Oryzias latipes: one gene and its partners. The protein of the gene in region 1 purifies or fractionates together with the protein of each later gene. This does not show direct contact. Links are inferred from orthologs where the notes say so. Each region holds a gene or a part of one and is shown on either strand. Other genes may lie near its edges. The genes, in order: cluap1, ift27, ift46 and ift57.

Evidence for each region.
Region 2: the proteins of cluap1 (region 1) and ift27 purify together in Homo sapiens (affinity purification with mass spectrometry; 3 studies listed by BioGRID and IntAct, with this or other methods). This does not show direct contact. The link is inferred for Oryzias latipes from reciprocal best matches to the Homo sapiens genes CLUAP1 and IFT27.
Region 3: the proteins of cluap1 (region 1) and ift46 purify together in Homo sapiens (affinity purification with mass spectrometry; 3 studies listed by BioGRID and IntAct, with this or other methods). This does not show direct contact. The link is inferred for Oryzias latipes from reciprocal best matches to the Homo sapiens genes CLUAP1 and IFT46.
Region 4: the proteins of cluap1 (region 1) and ift57 purify together in Homo sapiens (affinity purification with mass spectrometry; 4 studies listed by BioGRID and IntAct, counting the BioPlex papers as one, with this or other methods). This does not show direct contact. The link is inferred for Oryzias latipes from reciprocal best matches to the Homo sapiens genes CLUAP1 and IFT57.

Annotation. Positions count from the first base shown.
Region 1 is NC_019862.2:10,331,326-10,335,733, forward strand, and holds the end of cluap1 (clusterin-associated protein 1), read left to right. Parts: coding exon 1-134; intron 135-246; coding exon 247-388; intron 389-666; coding exon 667-739; intron 740-824; coding exon 825-935; intron 936-1,986; coding exon 1,987-2,036; intron 2,037-2,781; coding exon 2,782-2,958; 3' UTR 2,959-3,246; downstream 3,247-4,408. UniProt on the Homo sapiens protein: Required for cilia biogenesis. Appears to function within the multiple intraflagellar transport complex B (IFT-B). Key regulator of hedgehog signaling.
Region 2 is NC_019859.2:24,930,587-24,935,749, reverse strand, and holds the start of ift27 (intraflagellar transport protein 27 homolog), read right to left. Parts: upstream 3,080-5,163; 5' UTR 2,924-3,079; coding exon 2,893-2,923; intron 2,583-2,892; coding exon 2,518-2,582; intron 1-2,517. Other genes in the region: syngr1 (synaptogyrin-1), read left to right, coding at 3,944-4,048. UniProt on the Homo sapiens protein: Small GTPase-like component of the intraflagellar transport (IFT) complex B that promotes the exit of the BBSome complex from cilia via its interaction with ARL6. Not involved in entry of the BBSome complex into cilium. Prevents aggregation of GTP-free ARL6.
Region 3 is NC_019876.2:248,620-253,745, reverse strand, and holds the start of ift46 (intraflagellar transport protein 46 homolog), read left to right. Parts: upstream 1-1,591; 5' UTR 1,592-1,719; coding exon 1,720-1,833; intron 1,834-2,949; exon of another isoform or gene 2,950-3,083; coding exon 3,084-3,379; intron 3,380-3,439; coding exon 3,440-3,533; intron 3,534-3,905; coding exon 3,906-4,037; intron 4,038-5,126. Other genes in the region: sodium/hydrogen exchanger 9B2, read left to right, coding at 113-198. UniProt on the Homo sapiens protein: Forms part of a complex involved in intraflagellar transport (IFT), the bi-directional movement of particles required for the assembly, maintenance and functioning of primary cilia. May play a role in chondrocyte maturation and skeletogenesis.
Region 4 is NC_019875.2:10,101,195-10,106,404, forward strand, and holds the start of ift57 (intraflagellar transport protein 57 homolog), read right to left. Parts: upstream 3,427-5,210; 5' UTR 3,050-3,426; coding exon 2,916-3,049; intron 2,503-2,915; coding exon 2,328-2,502; intron 2,216-2,327; coding exon 2,097-2,215; intron 1,403-2,096; coding exon 1,312-1,402; intron 1,184-1,311; coding exon 1,115-1,183; intron 179-1,114; coding exon 56-178; intron 1-55. UniProt on the Homo sapiens protein: Required for the formation of cilia. Plays an indirect role in sonic hedgehog signaling, cilia being required for all activity of the hedgehog pathway.

The DNA of each region.
Region 1 (4,408 bases):
GAAAATGTGGCTAAAACAAAAGACATGTTGAACAATGTTGTGTCTGATGAAGCCAGTTTAGATGCCAAGATAGAAAGGAAGAAACAGGATCTGGAGAGGCATCAAAAGAGGCTCCAGACCCTGCAGAGTGTCAGGTCTGCGGTGTGATGAAGAGCACAGATACTAGAAGAGAAATGACAGATTCTTTTATTTACCAAATGCAGCCTGTTTTATAGAAGGATAATTGTTCTTCCTTTTCTCCTTCAGGCCAGCATTCATGGATGAATATGAGAAGATAGAAGAGGAGCTGAAGAAGCAATATGACCTTTACGAGAAGAAATTCCGAAACCTCAGCTTTCTGGAGTCTCAGCTGGAGGAACACCACAGACTAGAAAAGGAAAGGTTTGAGGTACGGATATAGAAGCACTGAGGGCTTCTCATTAGTTTCTTTTAAATTGAGTTTTTGATTAATAATAAACATTTCAAATATGTTTGCCTCAGTCAAATGTGACACTGTCTCTTTAATGCTAGAAAACCAGAATATATTTTTTTCTTCCATTACTTTTTTAGACAAAGATAATAAAAGCAAAAGATAACTGTTCTTTGAGTGCAGAAGGATCTGTTTTTTTCTGCAGAAAATGATTAAAAGTGCTTCACTTTCCATGGTCTGTGTCGCCTCTTTTGTAGGAAGCTGAAAACACTCTGAGGATAATGCAGCACAAACTGAGAGAGGAGAAACTTGACCTGATGAGGGGCTCCTGTGAGATCAAACACACACTTTAAGCAAAGTCCCATGTCCCAAATATCTTTAGCTCAAAGCAGTTTCTTGATTATTTCTTCTGAAGTGACAAATGAAGACTCTGACTTGGGCGTCATTGAGGATGAAGGTTCCGACAGCGACCTTGAAGAATCTCGGCCTTCAAAGCCGCGGCCCATGAGAAACGGCCTCATGACTGGTAAGCAGACAGCTTGAAGAAGAACATAATCTCTCAACGTGTACATAGTAAACCAACCTTAAAAAAGGAGAAAAAAGCGTTCATTTAGGTTTTCTCAAAGGAAAACTTGGATTCTAAAACTTGGTTGAACTGCTAAATGTCAAAGAGACTGTACCCCATGATCCCAGCTCCCACAGTGCAAAAAGTATACACCAACCACCAAAAGAGTACAGGTTGTCTGTTAATAACAAAGCCATTCGCACTCTATTGCCTTATATTTTATAGTTTTAACCTTTGATTGAGCTTAAGCGTAATTGAGCTTTGAAGCAGGAGAAGTGGAGCCTTTCAATTGCAGAAAAAAACTTTATGAAAACTAAGATGATGACATATATAAAGAGACCTTAGAACTGTGAGCAGAAAGGAAATTTTCTCTATTATTTTAAGCATTAAAAAAATCTCTGTTTAAAGTGTTCCTCTGTGCTTTACACAGAATGTGTTTAGAGATAGTTTTGACCATCTTTACCATTATCAGTTCACTTTTAAGTTGTGTCTGAATTCCTTCACTACTCACTATTTATTGCACTAAAGAGTGCGATAAATCACCATTTTGTGAGCTGTCCGAAAACAATTCCAAAATTCAGTGCCCTTTGGAAGTCTCTGCAAAAAACTAGTGTGCATCAATGCTCACTAGATTGGCAAATGTAGACCACAATGCATTGCATTTGAATGTTTTTTTTCATGTGAAAAAACATATTCAAATTCATTTTTTATAAATCATTCAAGTCTTTTTTAGCAGAACCCAGTGGATTCATAAATAGTATTTGTAAAGAAGAATTTCTGGAAATTGATGATGTCACATTTGCCGTTTAAAAGAAACACATGAGGATGATGTCCGAACTGTTTTTAAAATCCAGTCCCACACTATATGGATGCTATGGAGTAGTGAGGGAATTTGGACCTTGTCTTAAAGTTATTTAATCCCAAAATTTAAAGCTAAAACGTAAAAAAAAAAATCCAGAAAATCCATGAAACTCTGGTTCTCAAAAATGCTTTTTTTTTCTTTTCCAACAAGGGAGAGGAGGACTTTTTATTGGTAACATGCAGGGTGGTGACAGCGATGAGGTTAGTGATGTTCTTACTCACATTGCTTCCTTCATATTCATTCCATGGGCTGAGACTTCCAACATTCAAAGGATTTATCGCTTTTTGCCTTTTGCAACTTTTGATGGTAATTCAACTTTACCTGATGTCCAGTTATCCTGTGTTTTCTGCTGACCTCACCACTTAGTCTTTTTTCATTAATGTTTACTCATATCTCATAAGGTATTTTTACCAGTGTCCAAAACATCAGTCCCTCAGTTCAAAAAACACCCGAAAGGAAAGGTTTGTGCAAGACAAACGCCCACTTTATGTTTTTTTTCCAGCTCCTTGTGTATTTGAAGGAAAAATCAATCCTCAAAGTAAATGTTGGGAAATATTTATACTACTTACAGAAGTTAAAAATGTCAGTAATATTCATTGAACATGCTTTGCAGACAAGAGCTTGAATAAGAGAAAAGGTGCTGTCGCATTTTTTCCATAAAACATCAGAGTATCATCAGAACGAGCTGCACCAACACTTCTCACTTTTGAGCTAAAGGTGGATTTTTCCTTTAAATGACTTGAGTTTTCTGTTCACGCTAAAAGGCTAGTGTGTCCTGTCTAAAGTAGTGGAAACATTTGACCTGGTTATGTGTTTAGCTAAATAATCAAAGCATAGATTCCCATGTGATTCTACAGCCTGTGTGCAGAACCCGTCGAGTTTCTCCTGTTAGATTTGACTGCTCAGAACAGACTATTGCTCATGACTTTATCCCTGTTAATCTAGACTGATGACAGTGAAATCGATGTGGACGACGACGATGATGAGGAAGATGAGGAAAGAGAGGAGGAGAGCAAGGATTTGGAGGATGATAGTTTCGAAGGTCCCATGTCTAGAAACAACCGTCCTTCAATTGGAGCAGTGAGGCCTGCTCTGCTGGATGAAAGTGATAATGACTTTTAAGAAAAGAGCTCACCAAATTCTATAATTTGTCTGTTTCTAACTTGTATTTTAAGTTGGACCATGATATCAGCTTATCTCAAACGTATAAACATTGTTATTTACAGCATATATGTGGAGTGAAAATAGCCTCAACGGATTTGAGACTATTTTCTCTTCACTTTATGATGTAGCTCTTGTTTTTGACTGTATGAACTATCAAAATCCCTAACTGCATAGTAGTTTTGTTGTCTGTTTGTAATTCTTAAATTATTTTAAAGCCTTTTAATACATAAAAAAATAAAGAAATGGTTGATGTTTCCTTTTATGATGGAAAAGTAAAAAGCCTTTATCTAATTATTTGTTGTACTTATTATAGACATTGTCTATTTTTTTGTTTTGTGCCCACTACAATAGACACAGAAAGACTTAATTATTAATATTTCCAAAACGTTTTGACTTAAATCAGTGTGAATACAGTTTTTTTTTTTTTACAAATTTATTACCGATAAGTATAAACGCAATTACAAAACATGAATGAGTGCAAGTTTTTTTTTTCCCCAGATGCTTATTGTAAATATCAGGTAAAGTCCAAAGATATCAATATACATTGTACATTAATGCAAACTTATAAATAAAGAATGACATAAAATGAAATGCCAGTAAGAATAAATAAAAGTACAGAATGAGTGTGTAAAACAATGTTTGACATAACATTACAATTTTTTTTAAAACAATTTTATTTTGTAAAATAAAGGACGTTTTAAAACTTTTTGAAAAAGTAATTTATTTAGCAAAAATGTATTTAAAAAAAATAATTGAGATTTAGTTGGAAAATGTACATTTATACATGTAAAAATTAGAGTGGAAAAATTTGATTAAAACTTAACTCCTGTTGATGGAAACCAAACAATATACGTTTTAAGCAAAGAAAAGGGGACCATACATTTCTTTGTAACTAAAGATAATATCACAGAAAATTTGCCAAAAAGATTTTAGTGGGTTTAATTATACGTTTTTTGCAGGATAACATCGATTGCAGAAAAATATTTTTTTTGTTTGTTTTTTCTTTTTTTTGTCAGGAAGTACTTTAAAAATGTATTAAAAATTTGTAGAATACAGTAAAAAAAATTATAACAATACATTATAAGAATAGATTGCTTAAAATGTCCACTAAAAACGACCTAGCTTCGTGACGTCATCATCGTGCGCGACGATCGCAGGGAGGAGGTAGCGGATGCCTCTTCGAAACAAAACATTCGCAAACTCACGAGTTGCTTTTCCTCTCTTTCTGGTAAGTGACAGTGTCTGTATTAGTGCATTATTTATATCACGTTAACCTGCAAATGGAAGGATTTACTCCTTAAACAAACCAGTGCTGTTTAGCTAGCCATATTCATAGAAGCTAAACAGTGCTAGTTAGCATTTCTGATTAGCACTCCTGACATTTGGAGTAGGAGTTACTTTCTATTTT
Region 2 (5,163 bases), on another chromosome or scaffold:
GAAGTGTGAATGCAAGGGAATTATGAAGAGGATCACAAAACTTTATTTACATGCATAACATGAATACATTTAGAATCTACTACATAACTTAGCACCAGCCGCTCTTGCCAAAGAAGCACGTGTGAGCGTGTAACCAGATGATCTGTGTGGTGACCGTGTTAATCCCTCTGCGTAAAAGTACCTTAAGTCAGTCAGCCTGCACTGTGAGAGGTTTTAGAGAGAGCAACTTAATACCACACCAAATCATTTACCAACAAACAAAGCTTTCACTGAACTTTAAACAAGGCCTTAAACACACACACACACACACACGTCAACACTAAACCTGAACCTGCTTGGATTTTGTATTTCTAGACATGAACTATTTTCTTTATGTACGTTTCTTTGTTGTATCTATTGTTCCTAAATGCATGTATAGCTGTACTGAGATAGAAGCTTGAATTTTATCTTAATCTTATGTCTCCAATAATTGTTTATCTGTGCTGACCTATTACTGTATTTTACTGCTTTGTTAACATCAAGGCCAGAGGACTGAAGATGAAAAATAGCCTTCTGGTTAATTGTGTGGGCTGCACAGTGGAGCAGTAGTTAGCCCTAGTTCAAACCCAGCTGGGACCTTTCTGTGTGGAGTTAGCATTTTTCCCTGAGCATGCGTGGGTTTTCTCTGGGAACTCTGGCTTCCTCCTACAGTCCAAAAACATGCTTCCCAGGTTAATTGATGACTCTGAATTGCCCTTAGATCTGCACGTGTGCATATGTTCTGCAACAGACTGGGGACCTGTTCTGGCTAGACCCCACCTTCTCTCAATAGTAGCTGGGACAGGCTCCAGCAGGCCCATGACACAAAAGGGGTAGAGCAGATTCAGGAGATGGATGGATGGGTTGATTCTCGCTTTTTAGCTCGTCCTTTAGTTTGTGTTTTAGGAAATTGCATTGCCCCTTTTATATAAGCTTTTTTTTTAATCCAATCCAGTCTAATAGAATTAATAATTAATAATACATCATTAAATATTTTGGATATAGAGTTTAAAAAAAAGATAAAAAATGTAGTAAAATAGTCAGTATTCGTAGTGTAGCTTCATGCATTATATACAGTCTGGGCCATAAATATTTGGACATATTTGCATAAAAATGTGAAAAACTAAAGCATTTTTTTAAACACAATCCCTTCATTTCATGGGCTCGTAAGTAATTTGACAAATGAAATAACTGAAAACAAAATCGTCATTACTAATACTAATATTTCAGTTGCTGTTTGTTTGTGGGCAGATGGACAACGACCCAAAACAAACAGCCAAAGCAACTCAGGAGTTTATTAAAGCAAAGAAGTGGAATTTTCTTGAATGGCCAAGTCAGTCACCTGATCTTAACCCAATTAAGCATGCATTTCACTTGTTGGAGACTAAACTTCAGACAGAAAGGCCCACGAACAAACAGCAACTGAAAGCCGCTGCAGAAAACCCAGCATCTGGTGATGTCCATGAGTTCAATCCTTCAGGCTGTCATTGCCAACAAAGGGTTTTCAACCAAATATTAGTAATGACCATTTTGTTTTCAGTTATTTCATTTGTCCAATTACTTACAAGCCCATGAAATGAAGGGATTGTGTTTAAAAAATGCTTTAGTTTTTCATATTTGTATGCAATCATTTTGTTCAACCCATGGAATGAAAGCTGAAAGTATGAACTTCAATGGCATCTGAGTTGTCTTATTTAAAATTCACTGTTGTAATGTACAGAAACAAAATTAGAAAGAAGGTGTCTCTGTCCAAATATTTATGGTACTGACTGTAAAAAGCAAATTAAAGCAAGTAAGGTGGAATATTAGTGTGTGAAAGCTCCCAGAGACTAACAAATAATAGTGTATCTGTCTTGTTCTATTTTACAAAAAAGAAAAGAAAAGAAACACAATCTAATCACATATGATGGCAGCAAAAAATGATCAGTCCATCATTCCAGTCCAATGTGTGAAAACACTTTGAAGTGTGGATGAATGCTCTTATAATGTTCCCTTTGCATTATTTTAATTTGGAAAAACAACAGTGGGCTGAACTTTATGGGGCTAAAATATGAATGGATTTGCCATAAATTCTTGTTCACTTGTTTGTTTTTAATTTAAACTTGATTATAATGAAAGATATATATTTATTAGTGGCACTGGTTGAATTTTTGGCTAAAGATGCCTCAGATCGATTTTAGGTCAGTGAATCAGATCAAATCGGATCTTCAAAATGAACCAAAATCGACTAAGAATCAGAATGTCAACCAAAAATTATCATATGAATCGATTTGTTGTTAAAATGAATCCTTACACCCACCCAACCAGATTTGTAAAATCCTCACTAAACCAGCTAATAACCACTTCTATTGACTGAGACGTAATAATATAAAAGAGTTCTTTGGGCCAAAGCATGTTCCACTAAACACCCCACATTGAAAGTAATATGAGAAGCCCCCTGCATTTGCCTCAGGGTAACAGAACGAAACACTAGTTAGTTAAATGAAACCCTCGTCATACCATACTATAGTTCTTCAGAGTTCCATCACTGCAGATGAGAGAGCTTTTTCCCACAGCGGCATCACCTTCACACACAGACAAAAACACAAGGAATGAGGACATTCAGGGAGGAAAGGGGCTGTAGTATTATTCTAGAAGCTTCTTAACTGAGTCAGTGCGCATGCTAGCGAAACATCCATCACACAATAAACACATTAAACTTAACCAGACTGTTTCCTTCCCGCACACAGAACCAAGCAAAGAGTCTGCAAGATATAACACATATCTGCTAGTCCTTAACACTCTTTAGCTGCCTTTTTACCCTAAAGCAGTGTCAACTCTTTTTAATTAGCATTAGCCTGTTTCGTTTACATCGCAGAAAAGTTACAAACTTACCAACAAGCAGGCATTTGGCCCTCAATTTCATTATTGCATTGGATAAAAACTGTCAGTAATATCGTATTATCTTACTTATAAGGCTAAATTTAGCTAAATTTCTGAGGGGGATTAGCGCTATTTTATATACATTCTGCCATTCGACTCAGCAACATGGATTAAATTCGTCTCCCAGCAACCAGCCACAGTGGCGCTTATTGGTTAGTTAGCTGCAACGTAACCGAAAAATCTGTGCACTCGTTGGCTGAGAATAAATACTGTTGATAGAGCATTATTCCCCAGAGTAAGGTCTGTCAGGCAAAGATACTTGAACCAGGAACAACCTACCTATACATCATAATTACAGTTTGCAATAATTTCCGTCAAACACTATTGTATAAAATGTGAAAGTAAAGGAAATTTTTATTTAAACCTAAGTAAATAGGAATAAAAGTGAAGAATGGCCACAAGGGGGCAGAATTGTTAGAACTTCAACATACCTTTATTGGCTTAAATTGCATGCATTTTTTTCTAAAACAGACATATTTCTTTAGTTAAACATGACCAACAATATTTATTGAGGAATGTATACTGTTCATTATGTGAGATGAATAGCGAAGCGCGTGACACAAAGATCTCGTGAGCTCCAGCGCGTGTCCGTGTCGACTTTTTTGCGCTGTTTTGATCTGAGTGCGCGCTCCAGCGCAATTCAACAAGCACACTGTGAGGCGTGATAAGCGAGGCGCGTTCACGTGGGTGCCACTGGCTACAACACTGACAGCATCACCAAAACACCGGCTTCCTCCGTCCACACTCGACCTAACAACAGCCAATTTAGAGGTTTATCTGAACGCAGAAACAGGAGTGGAGAGCAGAGCCTCCGCGACAGAAACTAATCCCTCCTTGCAGGCAGACGCAGGACTTGTAGTACTAGTGGCTGCAGTAGCTGAGCGGTGGATCTATTTGTTTTTGTGGTTTCGCGTCGGTGCTCCACGCACACGCCGTGTCTTTGAAGTGGAAGTGGGGAGAGGAAGAGCATCTCAGTGGCGGCTGTCAAGAGAGGAGGAGGACAATGGAGGGGATGCAGGCATACGGAGCCGGGAAAGCCGGCGGAGGAGCCTTCGACCCTGTCACCTTCCTCCAGCAGCCACAGACCATTCTCCGCATAGTGTCTTGGGTAAGAAAGCAGTCCTGCAGAGGCCACAACTTAAATAGTATAAGTACTACTTCTTTACCATATTTGCTGTTTTCTTTATTAACGAAAACAAATATGCATAAACTGCTTTACAACTTTATTTATATTTTTGGAAATTATCATTTGAATTTAAATTTAGTGATTATCATCATTTAATGTAATCACTGGGTATCTTGTCTGTTCACAAATCAGCAATTAATGTATCTTTTTTTATATATAATAATTTGTTAAAAAACAGTTTAGGGTGAAACTATTTAAAAGGATTTCACAATAAAAGTTCTCTTGACTGTTTTTATCCGCACAGGAAGCAACATTTAAAAAAGTAGGCTATAATTATGAGGCATATTCAACACGTTTCCACATTCAAACGTTTAATACTGTAGGGGAAGTTCTTACCTTTAATGGGAAACCAAGTTTTAATTGACCATATTTGGTGTACTTAAAATGTGATAATAAATAAACCCAAACTCATTTAAATAACTATTGTGAAAAATCAGCTTGTGTGCTCAAATAAACATCACAGACAGGAGCTTAATCTGGGCCCAAGAAAGCCTTAAGTCCATTGTGTTTATAATAAAATGTTATCTACAATGACAAAGGTGTTTAGTGAGACAAGAGAAGAAAAAAATCTTTTTAGCCACTCTTGACAATAGTCTCTAAAATGATGTGAGCATTCTATCCCAAATTGATGCTGAATTTCCAAATAAACTCAGATTTAGTCATTAGTACACTGTGTGTCTTTAAAATGCCTATTTAAAACTTCTTTTCATATCCATAAAACAAAAAATACACACGATCTTATACTTGAAAAAAGAAAGGGAACAGAAAGAGGAAAACTTGTTTTTCTGCTCTTTTTACATACATAGAAAGCATAAAAGAGTGGACATAATAATACAGAAAAAAATGGTACTGTATCTAAACATACACATGTCTGCTATATAGCACATAGGTATTCTTTTGGTTTGAATTGAATGGAATTAGATGAATTGAATTGAACTTTATTTATCTCACAGGGAGAAATTCACTAATCATGGCAGCCCAAATCAAAAAGAAAAGTGATAATATAATGACAGCTCAATAGAAATTGTATCAATAAA
Region 3 (5,126 bases), on another chromosome or scaffold:
GTCTTCATGAACCCAGCAGGTTCTGAACTCCAGAACCACAGAGATGTCCTCAGAGTCAAAATGTCGTTTCTCCGTCTGTCCCGTCCAACTCTTCTGTTTTGAATCTGTGCAGACGAGGCCGACGGGGAAGCCGGACCTTCCGGTCCCACCGAACCCGTCCAAGAGAAGGACAGCAGGATCCCGGAGAGCAGGCTGTGAAGCTCCATGGAGGAGCGGCGGCGCTGATTTCCCGCCATGACGCGGCGTTTGGATGAAGGATGAGGGACGTCTGTCTTTGCTTTGGTCCTCTAGTCCAAATGTTACAGATCTGACAAGGTTCTGGTTTTAAACAGAAGCATGTTTTTTTTTGGTGTTGAGTTTGAATTAAAGATCAAAGGAGCTGAATTCCAGCTGGTCCAAAGTGTGTTCTCCCTCTGTGTTGATGGTTCCTCAGCTGGGATCCTGTCCTGGTTCCAGTTCTTCACTCCGCTGTAGCGGGTTAAAGGTCATAGTCTCTGAGTCCGACAGGGAGACCACCTGTCCTCATGGCCCTCTGGACTCAGGGTTCTCTGGATTCAGGGTTCTCTGGATTCAGGGTTCTCTGGATTCAGGGTTCTCTGGACTCAGGGTTCTCTGGACTCAGGGTTCTCTGGATTCAGGGTTCTCTGGACTCAGGGTTCTCTGGATTCAGGGTTCTCTGGATTCAGGGTTCTCTGGATTCAGGGTTCTCTGGACTCAGGGTTCTCTGGACTCAGGGTTCTCTGGATTCAGGGATTTCTGGACTCAGGGTTCTCTGGACTCAGGGATTTCTGGACTCAGGGTTCTCTGGACTCAGGGTTCTCTGGACTCAGGGTTCTCTGGGGGTTCTTCTCAAAGTGGATTCTCTAATCAGCTGCAACATGTGAAGCAGAAATCATGACGAGATTCCAAATCTGTAGAAGTACATGAATGGAATGAACCAAAACGATGAAGTAAACTCAAACGCAGGTTTTTGTGGAGATTTGAAATCAGAGAAACAGATTGGAAGACTTTCCTCCTCTTCCTCCTATTCTCTCTGCAGACAGAAAGCTGTCAAATTCCTCCTGAAAAACTGTAATCTGATTACACTCCTCGACACGTTCATCAGTTTAGCGATAGAATCAAATGTCAAATTCAGACAAAAATGACATTTAAATAAGTATCATTTATCTTCCACCACTGCAAAATCTAAAACCACGTTTTTATTGTTGGAAAACAGATTTTTACTGACATGATGGTGGAAACATTGATGGAAAATTTTCATTGAGCTGTTTGAGGTTCTATTTGAGGTTCTGTTTGAGGTTCTGCTTGAGGTTCTGCTTGAGGTTCTGCCAATGAACTGGAGGATCTGTTTGGGTTCTTCCACACAGTTAGCTAAACACAGATTGTAGTTCTTATGGATTTAAACTACAAAGGATTTATTTTACTTCATTCATTTCCTCAAATATTTAAATAAAACTCTTTTATTTCAAAAGTTTAAACATTTCTAGTGTGAAAATGCTGAATAAACTGAAATCTTTTCATTAAAAAACAGTTTTTTTACTGGAATTCCACATTATAACTACATTACCCATAATGCCTTGTGGGATCCGTTGCCAGGATACTGTCGGTATTTCCGGTAACCCTCAGAAACAAACGCGTAACGGTGCTAACGTTAGCTTAGCCGTTCTTCGGAACCGAACCGGCGCTCAGAGGTTCTGCAGGTAAGCCCGGACCGGGTCCATGGACCGGGCCAGAGGGCCCAGACTGCTGCGGAACCAGCCGTACGACGAGAGCCTGGAGGCGGACGGAGAGGAGCGGAGCCTCCGCAGCCCGGAGCCCGGAGGACCGCGGCAGGTAGGAGGCCGGAACCGGGGTCCAGTTAGGGCCCGAGAATTTGGAAGGACTGTTGCCATGGCAACAGCTGCAAGACGCAGCAGCATGTGGGGGTGGGGGCGTGAAGAGGTTCTGCATCAAAGTTCTCGGTGTAGGTACCACACCGGTTCTACGCTGACTAACACACACACACACACACACACACCCACACACACACACACACACACACACACACACACACACACGCGCGAGGCATCCTTTTAACATTTTTTATAACATTTTACACAACATGAATGCATTTTCTAGACTCATATTACGGGGGGGGGGTCAAACTCAGTCCCACTGGGGGCCTAAATCCAGAACACTCTGGGTTTTGGTAAAACTCTGGTAACCCTTAAATAACGTTTAATATTTTGCTCTCCATAAAAACATATTCTGTCAAAATTATGCAAACATGAAGATGCTGCAGAACAAAACAAACAAACCTGGAAATATTAATAATAAGAAATAACAAATCACGTCTTTCCGTTTTCTTTGCTCCTTTATCATTTTTTAGAGCTGGACTCCTGCATCATTTTAGCATTAATTTCTTGGTGTGTGTCGTTCTGTGTGTGTCTTTGTGAAACACATCAGAGGGATTGGATAAAAAACAAATTACTGTGAATATTATTTTTAGCTCTTATAAAACATTAAAAACTAAAACATAGAACTCATCAGTGGGATTACTCCAAAAATATTTAGCATTTCCCTCATTTTGTGCGACATCAACAGTAGAAATCCTCCAAAAACCTCAGTCCATAAAAATGATCTCTAGTTTATTGATGATCTGATAAAGTGCAGCTGTTCTCCTGCTGCCTGTCTGTCAGATACTGACACCAGCTGAATAATAAACCATAGTCAGTAAATAATGACATTATTAACAGCTGCTGACTGATCAACAGCACGCCATGATGCAGGTGTTGCGTAATCGCATTTCTCGCAGCCTGCACCCACTACCCCTCCCCTTTGCCTTCTCTAAGACAGGAGCGCAGAACTGCAGGGGGGGGGGGGGGGGGACCTGGTTCCAGGCTGTTTCAAAGTCTGTGAAATAACAGATGATAGCAAACCGACAGAGGCACAATTTACTTTTCTTCCAAGCAGGAGGAGGCTTTTATTGTGAAAGAACCCAGACACCAAAGCCAGAACCAAGTCCAGTTTCTGCATCCGTGACCGCCCCCCCTGTTGGTTCTTAACGGTTCAGAACCTTTCAGACCCGGTTCTGCTCCTCTCAGTCAGAGCTGGGGGCTCGGCGGCGGGTCCGCAGCCTGATGTCGGCCCGCAGCAGCAGCGACGAGTTTGACGAGGAGCCGCGGCCCCAGAGGGCCACAGAGCCGGCAGCCAGGTCCCACCCGGGGGCCAGTCCCAACGAGGAGGAAGAGGAGGAAGAGGAGGAGGAGGAGTCCGACTCTGAGGACTCTGATGAGGATGAAGACGATGAGTCCTCGCAGGCTCTGGAGTACGACCCGGCGGACTACGCCAACCTGCCCGTCAGCACCGACATCAAGGAGCTGTTCCAGTACATCACACGGTAGGGCCTCCCCACGTGCACGGTCTACACACGTGCACGCTCTGACCTTCGTCTCCTCAGGTACACTCCTCAGAGCTTCGATCTGGAGCTCCGCCTCAAACCCTTCATCCCAGACTTCATCCCGGCTGTGGGCGACATCGACGCCTTCCTGAAGGTACAAACACTCCCACGGTCCAGACGGTTCTGGTTCTGTTCTGTCTGACGGCACCCTGCTCTGCCATCTTCTGTTGGTCAGTGATCCAGGTGATTAGCCATGGGTGGAGCCAGAGGATCTGGTTAAGCCCCTCCCCTAAGGCCACCGAAGTTTGAGTTCTAGTGGTTCCGGTTGTTTCACTGACCCAGAGTCAGTAATAGTGTATGGACCCATGCAGACCATGATGTTCTGATCTGGTTTCAGTTCCTCCTGAACCAGCAGTTCCAATCTGCTGAGAAAGAAGTAGTTGTTCAGAACCAGAACCAGAACTGGAGCAGAACCACGACCCAGCCCAGCTGGGCCCCTCTAAGAATGTGCTTGTGTGGCGTTCAGGTCCCCCGTCCAGATGGGAAACCAGACTCTCTGGGTCTTCTGGTTCTTGATGAACCCAGTGTGAAACAGTCAGACCCAACGGTTCTGTCGCTGTGGCTGTCCGAAGAGAGCAAGCAACACGGAAGTGCTCAGGTACACACACCTGCTGGGAAACACACACCTGCAGACACACACCTGCAGACACACACCTGCAGACACACACCTGCAGGCACACACCTGCAGACACACACCTGCAGGCACACACACACACCTGTAAACACACACACCTGCAGACACACACCTGCAGACACACACCTGCAGGCACACACCTGCAGACACACACACACCTGTAGACACACACACCTGCAGACGCACACCTGTAGACACACACCTGCAGACACACACCTGCAGACACACACGCACCTGTAGACACACACACCTGCAGACACACACTTGTAGACACACACCTGTAGACACACACACACCTTTAGACACACACCTGTAGACACACACACACACCTGTAGACACACACACACCTGTAGACACACACCTGTAGACACACACACACCTGTAGACACACACACACCTGTAGACACACACCTGTAGACACACACACACCTGTAGACACACACACACCTGTAGACACACACCTGTAGACACACACAAACCTGTAGACACACACCTGTAGACACACACACACCTATAGACACACACACCTGTAGACACACACCTGTAGACACACACATGCAGACACACACCTGTAGACACACACACACCTGTAGACACACACACACCTGAAGACACACCTGTAGACACACACACACCTGTAGACACACACACCTGCAGACGCACACCTGCAGACATACACACACCTGTAGACACACACCTGCAGACACACACCTGCAGACACACACATGTAGACACACACACACCTGTGTAGACACACACACACCTGTGTAGACACACACACACCTGTAGACACAAACCTGCAGACACACACCTGCAGACACACACACCTGTAGACACACACACACCTGTGTAGACACACACACACCTGTAGACACACACCTGCAGACACACACCTGTAGACACACACACACCTGTAGACACACACACCTGTAGACACACACACGTGTAGACACACACACACCTGTAGACACACACCTGCAGACACACACCTGCAGACACACACCTGTAGACAAACACATGCAGACACACACTTGTAGACACACACCTGTAGA
Region 4 (5,210 bases), on another chromosome or scaffold:
GCAGAAAACTGGCCTCAGCGCTGACAGCTAGTAGATAGAAATCCTCCGTTTGAACCTTATTGTCGTTCCTGATGGTGACTTTCAGGTGTGGTATGACTCTCTCCACCTCCAGGTTCCACTCTGCAGCATCCACAGTCGCCTCCAAGATCTCCTCGGGTTTGGATGACAGTTCTGGTTCCTGTCAGACAGTAGGTCTGGTTTAAGAGCTCGACTCCTCTCTGAGAGGAACAGCCTCTGTGAAGGATCTGACCATTGAGTGTGTGAGAACTGGACTAAGCTAGTGAGACGTCTTTCTATGAGCCACCTGGTAGAACAGAGGTGGGCACTGAGGGCCGCATTCCTGCATGTTTTCCAGCATACCCTGCTCTGGCATGTTCTAATTGGCTGGACACACCTGAACCAGGTAATCAGTCATGAGTAGGGCAAGATTATTGGCTGGACACACCTGAACCAGGTAATCAGCCATGAGTAGGGAAAGGCTATCTTGAAATCATGCAGACACACCGGCCCTCGAGGCCTGGAATTGCCCACCCCTGTGGTAGAAAATGCCTCACTTCCAGCCCCAACCAAAAGAAGTCAATTCAGTCGCCTTTTTTTTTTTGCATAACGGATGCCGCCACGTTGAAACCAAAGGACGTCAGAGTGGTAGGACCGAATCGATCAAAGTCATCATTTCTATGGCAACCACTCTCGCCAATCAGGAGTGAGCTTGTGGAAGTCCACACCCCTAGCACTTTAAAGCCGGCTCGGGAGAATCTGTCAAACGTTTTGAACGTTCAATGTCAGGACACATGCTTTTATTGAGGCACCTGATTGGTCGGTTTATAACTTGAATAAATTGAATCATAGAAGAAATATCAGAGGGAAAAAATTTGGATTATGAAGAACATATTAAAAAGGTATCAGAGCAATAATGGTCATCCTGACACATAGAATGACTGAGTAAGAGTTGTTTATTTATCGATGGAAGTCTTTGGCTTCTTGGAGCCAGCGGGTCCTTCCTATTAGGAACGCGAGGGGGGGGGGGGGGGGGGGCGGAGTCACTCAGTCCAGCTCTCATCTACAGTCAATGGGAGTGCTCTCTCTTGTCTGTATAAAGACAAGTTTTTCTCACATTGTGGAAGTTCCGCAACTTCAGAGACTCCAGATCCATCGCAATTTCCTCCTCATCCTCATCTTCCTCCTGAAGTCACAATTAGAAAACAATCTTTTAAAAAATCAAATACAAGAATGAAAAACAAAAAGGACACCAGTTTTTGCAAAAGCGGCGTTGAAATAAGCTGTCAGCATTTTTCTCTGTGAAGTGCTGACCAATATTTCCTCCTCTGCTGTGCTGAGTGTGACTTCTGCATCGTCCTCCAGCATCGACTCTTCCTCCGGGGTTTCTGACGGGTAATCTGGCCTAAAGGGGAGGAGGGAGAAGAACACTTCATCTCAAACTGGAGCAGCCAGTGAGGCCTCGCTGTTGTCAAATCTGTAAAGTCCCACCACAGTGATCTATCTGATGTACTGTAAAAGTGTCCCCCAGTGTTTTTTTAATTATGATGGTGCAGATTTTAGCCAAAATTAAAAAAAAAAAAGTGTCCTTTACTAGGATATCGTTTCTGCAGAGCAGCAACAGTTCATTAGAAATACACCTTTAAGTTGTGGGGGGGACTATTGGGGCAGAGAAAGCCTGTCCTCATTTCCCATCATCCCTTTGTTTTACACTCTCTTCCACTAGCTTACAGTCCCTCACATCCCCAACCTAACATCACCGGTACAACAAAATATGGGGAGCCATATTGCAGCTTCAGGAAGGTCATTTTATGCTTTACTTTCTTCATATAGGTCTTCTATAATGAGAAAAATGCCACAAAACATTAAAAACACCACAAACACAATTTTAATCGGAGATCTTTAAGGTGTGGCGGCCTGAACTTAACCAAACTGACTTCTGACCACAACCGGTATTGTTGGGACCCAAGAAGAAAGACACTCCAACCTTGCAGCTGTAAAACTGCTTCATTCATTCCAGTCTTGAACTGGCTCCAGTACCAGCCTAGAACCCGTGTCTGGCCCAAAAGATGTCCCAGCGTAAAGCAGAGCAGAAGCACCTTTTGAAGGAGAAGTTTCTCCTCTTCAAAGCCTCGTCGGCCAGTCGGTCCAACACCAAGCAGACGTGCTCGCCTGAGCCCGTCTTCAATTTGGAGGGAGGGAAGTCCACCTTTACGCCCTGAAACCCACCAGGGTCACAGTCAGAGGTCGTCCTCACACATCTGAGATCAGAGTCTAAGTCACACAGAAAGGGACATATTGGATCATCTGCATGTGAAACAGCAGCTCACAAAGGCTCTCAGCTCCGCCAGGATGTTGGACACGGTGGCGTTGGGCTCGTCGTGCTCCCGGGGTTCGGTGAACGGCCTCCCTGCCACGTTGATGAGCCAGGCAGCGATGATGGTGAACATGTAAAACTGCTCACCCGGATTGGAGGACAGGTGGGAGTTGGAGACAAAGTAGTGCCTGGGAAGAGAAGGAAGAAGATACATGAATCACAAGATCAGATCATGTTTGAAATGAAACACATTTAGGAAGACAACTTCAATAATAAGCAGTCTGGAAAGATGTATTACACTTTAGGCATTTATTTGTAGACTTACTGCTATTTTCTTAAGTGTATTTAAAATTGATTTAAAATTGTATAAAAATAAAGATTTAGTGCTCGGGAAAAGTACAAAATGTGATCAAAGCTGTTTTCAACTTTTGTCTTTGTTTTTTTCATTTAACACAATCGACGGTCCAGCTCAGGTTCTGTTCTATTAGCTCTGTTCCGGCAGATATCATCACTGCTTCTTATCGTGTTCTGCTTCAAAACGTCGTCTTCAGGGAGCTGAAATTCAGCTTAAACCCGTCATTTGGCTCGTTTCGTTCCTGACCTGCACACTTTCTTCATGTTGTGTTTGTCCAGAAGCTCCTCGTAGTTCAGAGCGTCGAGCTTTTCTAACAGTCCCTCCATCACCGACACCATCCGGTGAGCGGCTCCCGGGCCCCGCTCATCCTCCTCTGCCATGAGCCCAGCTACTTTTCAAACCGCTTTAAAATCCACTAAAAAAATAAATGTTTTCTGGGGCCTTGTTTGTTCGATTAGCACACGCTGCTCTGCTAGCTCAGGTTGACTGTAGGCCCGTTGCCTAGCAACCGAAAGCTAAGTAGCCCTTTTCTTAACACGTATTTCTTTTTCCTCCCTTTAAACTTTAAATATGCGCATTGAGAATTTGCTCAACAGCAACAAAACAACATTCAAACTGTCTGGAAAACAGAATGGGTGTGACCAAGTTCGAGGGCTCCGTCCTTAGCATAAGAAACTTGGTAGATTTGTTTGCTAACTTGAGTTTGATCTCTTCTTCTGCTAGAATATAGAGTCAAACATCGCCCCCTAGAGGGCGGGAGAGGGACCTGAATATTGGGACTGGGATTTTGTTCTTAAAATGAAAATATCCTTTTTGCATTTACTGAGGCATTTGTACACAAATACACCATGCAAGAAATTCTACTGTTATTTTGATTGTACTATCTTAATCTCAGATTAAAAAAGAAGGTAATTTATGTCCAACAGTGCATGGAGCCATCTAAAAGGCTTAAAGTTAAAGTGCATCATCTTTCTGTTATTCTAAAGTGAAAGGAGCAAAATGAAAATACAAATGTTTAACAACCTGCTGATAGTGGGGAAAAAAAATTCCAAAAAAACCCGTTAAAACTACTTCATTTTTTTTAGGTATGTAGAAGGAACTTAAAATGTAAGGTATTTTGAAACTGAAGGGTCAGCTGTAAATTTACAAGGACATTGGAATTAAGATATTTTCAGATTAAATTGATTTTTTCTTTAATGTTTTATGATGCTGCTCAGGCATTATTATTAAATACGTTTTTTGGGTTTTTTTTTTGCCAACAGGGTGTCTGTGTTTTTCTTTCCTTATAATTTTGACCAATACTGTCATAATTTTGGGTACATATTTTTTGGACAAACTTTTTTATTTTCACATTTATTTTGAAGATTTCTTTTAGAAAAAGGTTGACGGGGTGCATAATCATTACAGTATAACACCCATCATTGTGCTTGTTTCTTTTTTAATACACTTATTGACAAAAAGAAAAAAGGTACGAAAGCAAAATTAAATGGAATTCTTTTTTTTAAAGGAAGCAAAATCTCTACATATAGATAAAAGATAATAAACAGATAATGTCACCTTTAAACTTTGATTAAATTCCTTTACAATTAAATGCATATGGTTTTTTTTTTTTTGGGGGGGGGGGGGGGGGTGTTTCGTTTTTGCACAGAACCTCATAATCTAATTAAATTCCAAAACAATTCCCCAAAAAAGTTTTTCCTATAATGGATTGTGGGTGTTTGTCAGTTTGCCAATAAGTTTGTAAGGAGTTCAAACCTTTAACTTCGGTGTTTTTAAGTAGAAACACATTTGTTCATCATACAGCGTTTAACTTGCAGAACTTTATTGACACAGTAAGATGAGTAACACTTGTCACGGAGAGCGTCTCTGCGTCAGGCTGAAGAGGCCCGACGTCCTTTCAGTGAGACGTTTCTCAAATGGAAAAGTCTCTTCATGTCTTTCCTCCTTTTAAAAACATCTTCTGCATCTGGAGACAAAATGTAGGAAATAATCCTCTGAAGAGGTACAAACAGTAATAGCTTTAGTGTTCACGCGTGACAGAACACGCGAGCGAACGCAGGAGTGGAGGAGGCGTCCTGCCGCTGCTCCCACTTCCATCTGCTTCAAAGCACAGCTCTGAACCTGTAGATGCTCACTGCAGTAGTTCTGAGAGAAAGATCTGACATTTAAAACAAAAGGACACTTTCACAGTCGGGGGGGGGGGACTTCAGAACATGCAGGGGAAAAAAAGGGTAAGAAGTTCCTTCAGTTACAGTGACTCTATGCAGTCGGTCGCACAGACACCAAACCTCAGGTGAATCTGCAGAAACAATCATGCACAGTTTTGAGGAGCGGCTCGCCACAATGTCCCGCTCACATTCAGGGTGAAAGTGTTGGAGCCCAAATGTTAGTTCAATCTGTGCAGAGCGAAGGCCTTAGTCACCGCCGTCTTTACGGGTGGATACGAGCAAACCTGTACGCAGATTTTAAGATTCTAGATTGAAAGTGTTCATACACGTTTTTTTCTAAGGCCATGATCCGAGCAACAGGTCATAGCGAACA